3 linked regions of the Caenorhabditis elegans genome follow. The protein of the gene in region 1 purifies or fractionates together with the protein of each later gene. This does not show direct contact. Each region holds a gene or a part of one and is shown on either strand. Other genes may lie near its edges. The genes, in order: tin-13, tin-10 and Y32H12A.7.

Region 1 (3,239 bases):
TTGAGGTTTTGCCGCTTTTTTATATGGATAGTGTAAATTTTGAAACTCGGCGATTAACAATAAACATGTACCATTGAAAGACATATTCAGAGCCAGATGAAGGAAGCGAGAAATCATAAGCAGTCTTGTGTGAGAGAAGACAATGTCGTTCTTCTTTGGTGTTTGACACAGAATGAATGAATTCTAGAGAAGGAGGCTGAGAAGAGAAGGAAACAACATCTGGAAAGAGCACTAGAGCGTCGACGCACAGAGACAAAGGGCAATAAATCAATGGGAGAGTGTCATTTTGGCGCGTTGACAGTTTTTATCTCATTTGATGTGACCATGTGGTAGAATATTAGTATAGCACGAAAATTAGAAGCTAAATTTCTATTATGAAGGCGAGATTAGCCGCGAGAGAGAAGTTTGGTGAAATGAAAAGAATACGAAATGAAAGAGTAGGAAAACAATTTTCTCTAGACACCTGCATCTCTAAAACACATTTGATCCCTAAAAAGATTGAAATGAAAAAACAAGAGAATCGATTAAATGTGAGAGGAACTTGGGCAAAACATGTCTCTTGGTAATATGCAGATTAACAATTGAGTATATAAAATTAGGGCTGTACAACCGGACGTCCGGTCGTCCGAACCGGACGCACATGCGTCCGGTTGGGGGTAGCTATCCACGACGGCCGACAATTTCCGAGTTTCGCCACTCACTATAAAATTGCTGATTAAGTATAGTGAGTGGCGAAAATCGGAAATTGTCGGCCGCCGTGGAAACCTACCCCAAAACCGGACGCAGTGCGTCCGGTTTTTTTTTTTTTTGTGCCGATTTGTACAGCCCTATATAAAATGAAGGATTTGTTAGTGAAAACCGAAATCTACGTGACGCTTTGCATAAATTACAGGACCAGATGCATGTTTCACACATCTCCTTGTGGCCTTGAAAGGATGAGCGAATTTGAATTGAATGGTGGGAAAAGTAGCATAAGAAACCGATCGAATGAAACATTTTTCTGGTCGTATTGAATTACGAGATTATACCAGTTTCGCAACTAGTGTTAATTAGAATTAAACATACTCGTGGACATTAAACGACAAAAAAAAAGTAGATTTCGGATTTAATTTTAAACGCTACGCCGAACAATTCTCTAAAAATGCATGCTCATTCGATAAAACCTTTGGTCTATTTAAGAGATCGGAGACCAAGTGCGACAATTGAAATCGCAAGAGGTTAAAAAGAAACACTGAATTTGAAAATCACAAAGAAAGAAGGCGGCGTAATTAGAGAACGAAAATGGCCTTGAAATAAGTGAACAAGAGGCACCGGAATTATGTGTACTTCCAAAAATTACTTCGAAGATTTCCTAAATCAGTGAAGGTTTTATGAAGAACAGAGAGGATTTGTGAAAGCAGAAGCGTGATAAAAAAATGTGCGGGAAATGTTTTTTTTTTAAGAATCTGATTATTCTCATGAGCGACAATTTAAAACTTTTATCTGAGATTAAAAGAATTATCACGAATTACTCGGGACGAAAAATTTAAGAAAAATAGCTTCAAATTCAAATAACGACCCTTTAAAACAACTATCCATGCGAGACCCAGCTCGTAAATCGACACTTGCGCCTTAACAGAACGGCATCAACTTTTCTTGGATTTTTTGTATTTCTATCTCTTTTTTATCGTTCTAATATTTAATAAAAATATTTCAAATGAATATTAGAAAAAACTACACACCTTTTTTTTTTTAAATAAGTTACCTTCAAAGTTCATCAAGAATCATCGATTGAAAGTGAAAAGTAATTAAATCGGGAAAACATTTTCGTAAATATTTCGACACTCTTCTGACGCATTTTTCTTTCTTCTCACAAAAAAAAAGAAACACGAGAACAAACACGCCCATCTTCCCATACAATTGCATCTCAACTTTCGCGCCAACACAAGTGGACGAGGCCTAGAAAACGCGCCCTGCAGTTTTCTATACCGCGTGAATTAATGCATGTTTATGCTGAAAACTTTTCCTAAACGTTTATTTTTCAAAAATATGTTACTTTGTGAGCATGCCATATGATAGACTATTTATAGGAGAAGAAAATGGATCAGCTGCTTGATGTGGAGACGTTGAAGAAGCTGTCACCAGAACAGCAAGAGCAAGTGATCAGTGGTGTCAAGCAGCAAGCTGCCCTTGCCAATGCCCAGAATCTTGTCACGGTAAGCCAAAGAATTGTGAAAATGATGGAGTGGATGCCGAAATGATAGATTTGGGTCATCTCACACCAATTTTCAAATATCAAATTGAAAAACGACAGTGATGTAATTCTAGTCGGCGTTTAGAATGTAAACGTTGAATAATATTTTTGCTTGCAGGACATTTCTGAAAAGTGCACGAATAAATGCATCACTGCACCAGGAAGCTCATTGGCCAGTGGTGAAAAGCAATGTCTACAGCGATGCATGGATCGTTTCATGGAATCATGGAATCTTGTTTCTCAAACTCTTCAAAAACGTCTTCAAGAAGAAATGGCGTCTTCAGGAGGAATGGGTGGTGGATTCGGACAAGGACCGTCGTTTTCTTAAAAAAATGTTTTCAATTAACACCCATTTTCTGTTATTGTTTTTTTCCATTTTTTTTTCTTCGAATTGTCATTTGTAGGTAGATCAAAAAAAAAATCGAATCTTCTTTTGCTCTATATTGTTATCTAATTGCGGCAAGGAATATCCACCAGAATGGTTTTTTGCGGTAGTTTTTCGTTTTCATTTTCTCCGACTTTTTGGCGTATTCTTTTGTGTTTCGCCACATTTCTCCGGTACTTCTTCTAAATAGTTTTTAAATTTTAAGCTCAGTTTCAAACTACTGACCTGTCTCTTCAATTTCAGAATGATTGGCGCTATCAACGTTGCCGGACTCTTATTTAGTGTTTACTTCTACGCATGGTTACGTCCGGATCTTCAAGCAAATGTTCGCATGGGCTTCTATCGATATAAAGTTGATTTTGCAATATATTTCGGAACTGCTGTCTGGTTATTTTTGGCAATGTGTGTCGTCGCTCCACGTGTCTGCCGACGAACCAATGCGATTGCCGGAAATTGTGGAATGGCCGTTTGCTCGATTATTGTCATTGTAAATCATTATCTGCTGGAGAAAAAATGGGTGGTACGCAAACTTTATTTGTTTCAAATTCAACTATATACATTTTTCAGTGGGGTGGCTTGCTCTATCTCAGCAATATTATGTTCTACGTGCTGTTCATGGGA
Region 2 (3,756 bases), on another chromosome or scaffold:
TACAAAAATAAAAAAAAATCGCCAGTTTTGTTCAATTTTTGATTTTTTTTTCCCGATTTTTCGTATAAATCGGAGAAAAAATCGGTTTTTTAACAAAAAAATTTTTTTTTTAATTTTTCAACCATTTTTTAGATCTTTAGGTCAGAAATGTTCTTTTGCTTTCAATTTTTAGGGTTTTAAAAAAAATTGTTGTGAAAATTGGGTCCAAAAATTCAAAATCTCAGTGGTTTTAGAATGGAAAATGTTTATTTTTGAAATGTGAATTTTTTCAAATTTTTTAAACTTTTTCAAATGAAAAAATCAGTGATTTTTCCACTTTTTGAGCTAATTTTTTATGGTGTTCGAAAAAACTCCAAGCATACGGCTTCTCCCTGGAAATTGAGAAAATTTTTGGTTTTTTTCCGAAAAAAAGTGCCGAAAAACTCAATTTTCGGAATTTTCAGAGAAAATTTGTGATTTTTCTCCGGAAAATTGGGTTCAAAAATGAAAAAATCGCAAGTTTTTTTTTGGCAAAAAATAGAAAAAATCGATTTTTCAACAAAAAAGCTTTTTTTTCAATTTTTTGTGAAAATTGGGTCCAAAAATTTAAATTTTGATTTTTTAAGAATTTGTTTTTTGGAAAATTTCAGTGGTTTTAGAATGGAAAATGTTTTTTTTTTTGAAAAAAAAAATCAGCGATTTTCGGCTTTTTCAGCTAATTTTTCACGGTTTTCGATTTAAAAAAAATCGATTTTTTTCACATTTTTCAACTTAAAGACTATAAAAAGAGTACGAATCATAATTTTCCAGTTTTTTTTTTTTGAATAAATTTCATTTTTCTCATTGAAAATTCGCTTTATATTCTTTTTTTTCAGTTTTTTTTCTCATAAAAATCGATATTTTTCCAATTTTACCTTTGTCAATTCGGACTCTCTGAAGGCGGTGGCAATGCACTTTGCCTGACACGAATTGGTCATTCGGCGGTACATATCCGACATCATTTCCACCTGAAAAATCAAGTTTTTTTTTGGATTTTGTGTGGTTTTTCCCTTAAAAAATCATTTTTCTAAAAAAATCATTTTTCTATAAAAATTCAATTTTTCTGGGATTTTCCCCAAAAAATTCAATTTTTTTCGGAATTTTTTTCATTAAAAATTCGAGATTTCTGGAATTTTACATCTAAAAATAATTTATTTTCAAGTTTTCGATTTTCCCCAAAAAATTCAATTTTTCTCGGATTTTTCCTTAAAAAATTTATTTTTCTGTAATTCTCCTCTGAAAATCAAAATTTCTGGAATTTTCCACATAAAAATCCAATTTTCCTGTAATTTTATTTTTCAAAATCAATTTTTTCTGGAATTTTCCTCTAAAAACCCTTTTTTTTTAAGTTTTCCTCTAAAAATCACTTTTTCTGAAATTTGTGTATAAAAATTCGATTTTTCTGGAATAATCCACTGAAAAATTCAAATTTTCTAAACTTTTTTGGTTTCTTTCTTTAAAAATTCAATTTTTCTGAAATTCTCCACCTAAAAATCAATTTTCTGGAATTTTTCTTCAAAAAATTCCAAAAATTCACCTCAAGCTCCGCAACTTGTGCCATTTGTGCGTCCGTCGCCATTTTTTTTCGTCGATTTCTGTAGGGGAAAAATATACATTTTAATTAAAAAATCAACAAAAAAAAAGTTTTCAGGTACAAAAACTGGGTGAAAACCAGTGAAAAAAACAGTACAAATACAAAAATTCAAAAAGAAAATGTACAGGAATGTTCATTTAGTGTGCAATATTGACAAGAAAAAGTGAAAAAAAAAGAAAATTACAGACATCCATCGCAGGTGTAGAACGAGAAGTTGGTGTGACTGTCGAACGTGAAAAAAATAAAAATTTGAAAGAATTTTTGAAAAAAAAAGTGAATTTCAATTGATTTCCGGTGGTTTTTCAATTTTTTCTCTCGATTTTTCGATTTTCTCCGAAAAAAAAAAAGAAAAATGGAAATTTTTCGACCTAAATATTGTAGAAGGCCAGGAAATTTGAAATTTTGCATTTTTATTTTTTTAAAAAATCAAATTCCACTCAAAAATCAATTTTACTGGATTTTGGTACTGAAAATTCGAATTTTCCACTAAAAATATATAATCTTCTGGAATTTTCCACATATAAATCATTTTTATTCAATTTTTCTGAAATTTTCATTTAAAAAATCTTTTTTATTTAATTTTTCCCTAAAAATTCAATTTTACTGCAATTTTCATTTAAAAAATCTTTTTTATTTAATTTTTCCCCTAAAAATTCAATTTTACTGGATTTTGTTACTGAAAATTCGAATTTTCCACTAAAAATATATAATTTTCTGGAATTTTCCACATAGAAATCATTTTTATTCAATTTTTCTGAAATTTTCATCTAAAAAATCATTTTTTATTTAATTTTTCCCTTAAAAAATTCAATTTTACTGCAATTTCTCGTTAAAAAAATTTTTCCGCTAAAAATTCAATTTTACTCCAAAAAAATTTCTTTTAAAACTTTTTTTTCAACTATAATTTCCAAGATTTTCCAATTTTTTTTCCAAATTGTTGCTACTAATCTTATCATTTGGGCCTTCGGGCCATAATAAGCCATAGCGTAGGCCGTACCATCGGCCGGGCCCAGTAATTGTAGGCTTATAAGAATGATATCGACAAGCCAAAACACAAAGAGACCGCCAAGTGAGAACATTTTGATGAGACCTGCAACGAAAAATTCGATTTTTTTTATAATTTTCAAAAATTCAGTAGAAAATTCTGCCTACCTAACGCATAATACCCGAGATAAATCCGATCAATTCCAAAAAATCCGAGAAAAATCGATAAAAGTACTGTTGTGGTGTAGCTGACATGGGCTCCGTAATGACAAGCGCTGGGGACCTGAAAAATGCAAAATTTTGGTGAAAAATTGAAGAAAAATGCAGAAATTAGGGTTTTTTGGTCGAGAAAACCGACTGAAAATGTGCAATTTTTGGTTCTAAACTGGAAAAAAATCATTGAAAATGTGCAATTTTTGAACTAAAAACTTGAAAAATTACTAGAAAATGGTGATTTTTTGGTGCGAAAATTGAAATTTTTTTATTTTCTAGTGGAAATTTGAAAAAATCGGCTGAAAATTTGCAATTTTTGCACAAAAAATCAGGAAAAATCATTGAAAATGTGCAACGTTTAGCAAAAAAAAATTGGAAATTTGTGCAATTTCGGGCACAAAACTGGAGAAATCACTGAAAATTTTGCGATTTTTGGCCCAAAAAATTGGAAAATTACTAGAAAATGGTGATTTTTTGGCCGAAAAATTTGAAAAATCACAAAAAAAAAAGATTGGAAAACCACTGAAAATGCGATTTTTGTGCTTTTATTACAAATTTTTCAGAAAAAATAACAAATTACAGAACATTTTCAATTTTTTAATTGAAAAATTGAAGTTTTTGGTGATATTTTCCAATTTTCCGATGAAATTCGTAGTTTTTTGTTGGAAATTTAGCGAAAACTTCCTTTTCTGACTTAAATTTGTTTTTTTTTTTCAACAAATTTGTCAAATTTTTGATTACTTTTATGGAAAAAAGCATCAATTTTTGTGATTTTTCGATTAAAAAATTGGAAAAACGAGATAAAATTGATTTTCCGCCTCAAATTCTCGTTTTTTTCAGCAGATTTTCACTTTTCAGGCCAAAAAATGCGTACAGTTCGATTAAAAATTCCGAATTGATCCTTTCCAACGCATTTTATGTGCTCCGCCGTCTCACACATCACTTGA
Region 3 (3,756 bases), on another chromosome or scaffold:
ATGCATTTTTTAAATTTACAAATGGGTATTCGATTCAGTATTATAGTAAATTTCTCAGTTTCTCCTTAAAAATCAATATTTCAGCTCATCTGGCAGAGGATCAGAAGCAAGTTGTGAAGGATACATTGATTCAGTTGGCGACTGGAAAGATTCCATATTTTACTACGAATTATTTTGGTGGTTATGACTACACGGAAAATGTTGGTTTTTCTTTTAACAAAAATTGTTTTAAAATTTAAAAATGTCTGCTTTTTTTTGAAAACATCTCAATTTGGAAAGCGACGGGTTTTGTTCGATTTTTAGAAGAAATATTTTGTTCTTGATTTTTTAAATATAATTTTCTGTGTTTCAGATTTCTCTGACTGAAGAAGACGAGGAGAACGATGATGACAAGTCTCCAGTACTCAGAAATACAGATATAGTTCAACCGGCGGCTCCAAACGCGAAATATCTTGAAATGGAGGATTGTGAAGAAGAAATTGAATGGCTCAGAAGTATGCACGAGGGATCAGATTTCCATAGACGCAGATTTATGGCTGTATTAATGTATAAAATGGCTCAGAAGGCAATTTTCCGTTTTGCACCACATTTGGCTGATTTTGAGAGAGGACGGAAAAGATTCCAACATTTGCTTACTTTACATGCAAAGCAGCGTCCATTGCTTGATATGATGATCACTAAAGTTCGGGGAACTTATTTCATGGTTAGTGGCAAGAAGTTCAAAAGAAAAGTCTTCCCAAAATTTTTTTTAGATCACTTTTTTAAAAACAAAAATCTGAATTTCGTTCCACGATCAAAAAAATGCAGATCTTTTATTTTAATTTGGAATTTAAAAAGTACTATTTTCAACAATTTTCAGCCGCTAGAAACCAACATGTTCCTGTATGATTCCAAATTGATAACATTTGCGGAATTAGTTGATTCGGAAGTTCATCCAAAAGAATGGAAGGAACGAAAAGAGACATTTGAAGAAATTAGACGACAGACACCGAAAGATCCAAAATCAATGTCTAGATTCCTGAATATGCATAATTCGGGTTCTGATTCGGATTCTGGTTCAGAAGTTCGATCGGATTCATCTTCGTCTCTTGGTGGATCAACTGAGTCTTTGAACAGCTCGAAAAAAGGAAAACGAGCTCGCCGAGCAATGAACAAGGCACAAAGAGAGCTGATGCTTTTAAAACTCCGATCGAAACCTGTAAATCCAGAAGAAACATTTGCTCTGGAAAAACGAGCAATTGGAGCAAAAAAGTGGAAGGTTCGACGAAAAATCAACGAGATGTTGGAAGGAATTGCGGATCTTGACAAATTTAAGATTGAGGCGAAGCTTCCGGCAAAAAAGAAAGATTTATTGAAACATATCAATGAATTAATTGTTGAAAATTCTGATACAGCACACTGGTCATGGGGTGATTTGAAAATGCAGACGAGAATACGAAAGATTCCACCAGCAAATAGAATGAAGCCGAAGCATATTAATCGTATTTTGAAGGGAAAGGTATGGAAAAATAGTTTCTGAAAGTTCTAAATGTTTGAAATATCTATAACAAATGAGCTTTAATGTTTTCTAGCAGTTCTACATTTTCAGACCCAAGATAAAATTCAAAGAAATTTTTTAAAAATAAATCTTTTTTTTTCAGAAAATGTACAAACCGCCGAAAAAATACGATCCAAAAGATGCGCAAACTAACGGACGCAAGTGGTTCTAGGAAGGATATACAGTTTTCTTCTTGTTTTATATATATATTTTTTGTTAAATTTTTTGTTATCTTTATCTCATTTTTATAGCCATTTTTCCAATGTATTTCGTATTCCCCTCAATTGTTCTCCCATTATTTTTTTCAAAATTTTGAAATTCTTTCAATCGCTAGTGATTATAAGGTATATTTTCAATATGTGATAATTTTGTATATATATATTTGAATCGATTTGCGCCCATCAAATTGCCTTTCTATTTTTTTTTTCTCAAAAATTATGTTAAATTATTTGTTTGTTCTGATTGGATTTTATGTGATATAAGATTGTTTTATGATATTTTTTTCGGGTCATCCTTTTAATTTGAAAACTGGTTCTAGAATCCTGAATTTTATCTTCTTCTGTAAACTTTTTTCAGAATTTCCAATATTTTCATATTTCCAGAGACATGATATTCGGGTCGACGAGGTTAATTTTGTACAGGTGCTGGGCTCACAGCAGAGCCGTGAGCTCTAGAAATTTTAAATTAGGAATTGTGCTCGGAATGGGTGGAGCTGTGTCTTTAACAAGGTTACGGACATTAAAATGTGAAGCAGAGCATCAAGATCCATGGCTTCTTGTTCCACAGAAAGTAAGATCGAATTTTAAAGTTAAATATTCAAACTTTCAAAATTTTATAAATGATTTTAAAACTTTCAATTACGCAAAAACTCTAGAATTTTATTCTTCACATCCAATTTTTTTGCATAAGTTTTTAATTTTTCGAAGAAAAAAATCCCATAAAATATCAAGATTTTTAGAAAGTCGTAGTGGAAAAATCAACGATGATGGGCATAATAACTCTACCGATTACATTGATCGTTGTCACTTATAAAGCAATAAGGAAAATGTTCAGGTGAGCAATTTTCTGAAAAAAATTGTCTTGCAATTTTTTTTTAATTTGGAGTTACAATGAAAAAAAATAAATTTCAATTTTTAATTGTACAAATATTCCAAAAGGCAACTTTTTATATCTCTGATCTGAAAATAAAAATGCTAAAATATGATTTCCTGGAAAAAAAGAAAATAAAATAATTACAGATGCATTAGCTTATTCCTTCGATTTTCTCCAATTCTTCTCACTTATCCTCTGACAAAAATAGAAGCATTCGAGAATCTTTGGTGGAGATATCTTCTGTGGTCTCTTCAACATTCTGGACCAACTTTTATTAAATTAGGACAATGGGCAAGTACACGAAGGGACATCTTCACAAAAAAGTTTTGTGATCGGGTGAGATTTTGATTTTCTAATCATCTTCAATTTGTATTTTCAATTTCAGCTCTCCGTGCTTCATATTCAAACTAAAAACAAGAGATTCTTCCGTGATAAGAAAAAAGTAATGAATGAAGTATTTGGAAAAGGATTTATGAAATTGCATGGAAAACAAGTATTTCTCGAGATTGAACCATTTTCAATTGGCTCAGGATGTATTGCACAAGTATATCGAGGTACTGTAGATATCTCTGAACTTGAGAAGGCTACTGGAAAGGAATACCCAGAGCTTAAAGGACGTACAACACAACGGATTGCTATTAAAGTGGCTGATAAAGATGTTGATAAGCAAATTGAATTGGATCTTTCAATTCTGAGAAGTGGAGCATGGTTAATGCAACATATTGTACCGGCTCTTTGGTATTTGGATCCAACTGGAGCACTTGAACAATTTGAAATGGTACTTCGGCGACAAGTTGACTTGAGAAATGAGGCGAAGGCTTTGAAGAAGTTTTCAGACAATTTTAGTTCAAAAGAAACTGGAATTAAGTTTCCAATTGTGCTTGGATATACTAAAAATGTAATTGTGGAAACATTTGAAGAAGGAATTTATATTAATCGATTGGTTGCAGAGGAAGGACAGCCAGAGGTTAGAAATTGGAGATTTGGTAGAAAAAATATGAAATAATTTTCCAAAATAAACTTCCACTCTAAAAAATTCATTTTGCAAAAAAACTTTTTTTTTTCAAATTTTTATTGCGTAAATTTAAAAATAAAAAATTAATTAGAATTTTGCCAATAAAAAAATT

What was found.
Region 2: the proteins of tin-13 (region 1) and tin-10 fractionate together in Caenorhabditis elegans (co-fractionation; one large-scale study listed by BioGRID). This does not show direct contact.
Region 3: the proteins of tin-13 (region 1) and Y32H12A.7 fractionate together in Caenorhabditis elegans (co-fractionation; one large-scale study listed by BioGRID). This does not show direct contact.

The regions. Positions count from the first base shown.
Region 1 is NC_003279.8:8,758,619-8,761,857, reverse strand, and holds tin-13 (Mitochondrial import inner membrane translocase subunit tim-13), read left to right. Parts: upstream 1-2,069; 5' UTR 2,070-2,078; coding exon 2,079-2,195; intron 2,196-2,351; coding exon 2,352-2,561; 3' UTR 2,562-2,652; downstream 2,653-3,239. Other genes in the region: DY3.8 (SWEET sugar transporter), read left to right, coding at 2,863-3,138, 3,186-3,239. UniProt on the Caenorhabditis elegans protein: Mitochondrial intermembrane chaperone that participates in the import and insertion of some multi-pass transmembrane proteins into the mitochondrial inner membrane.
Region 2 is NC_003281.10:11,501,238-11,504,993, forward strand, and holds the start of tin-10 (Mitochondrial import inner membrane translocase subunit Tim10), read right to left. Parts: upstream 1,614-3,756; 5' UTR 1,598-1,613; coding exon 1,556-1,597; intron 987-1,555; coding exon 894-986; intron 1-893. Other genes in the region: TM2 domain-containing protein Y66D12A.21, read right to left, coding at 1,793-1,844, 2,561-2,702, 2,765-2,879, 3,684-3,756. UniProt on the Caenorhabditis elegans protein: Mitochondrial intermembrane chaperone that participates in the import and insertion of multi-pass transmembrane proteins into the mitochondrial inner membrane.
Region 3 is NC_003281.10:5,383,791-5,387,546, reverse strand, and holds the start of Y32H12A.7 (ABC1 atypical kinase-like domain-containing protein), read left to right. Parts: upstream 1-2,140; 5' UTR 2,141-2,143; coding exon 2,144-2,326; intron 2,327-2,495; coding exon 2,496-2,590; intron 2,591-2,775; coding exon 2,776-2,965; intron 2,966-3,014; coding exon 3,015-3,596; intron 3,597-3,756. Other genes in the region: Y32H12A.8 (WDR59/RTC1-like RING zinc finger domain-containing protein), read left to right, coding at 1-200, 353-703, 860-1,498, 1,641-1,709.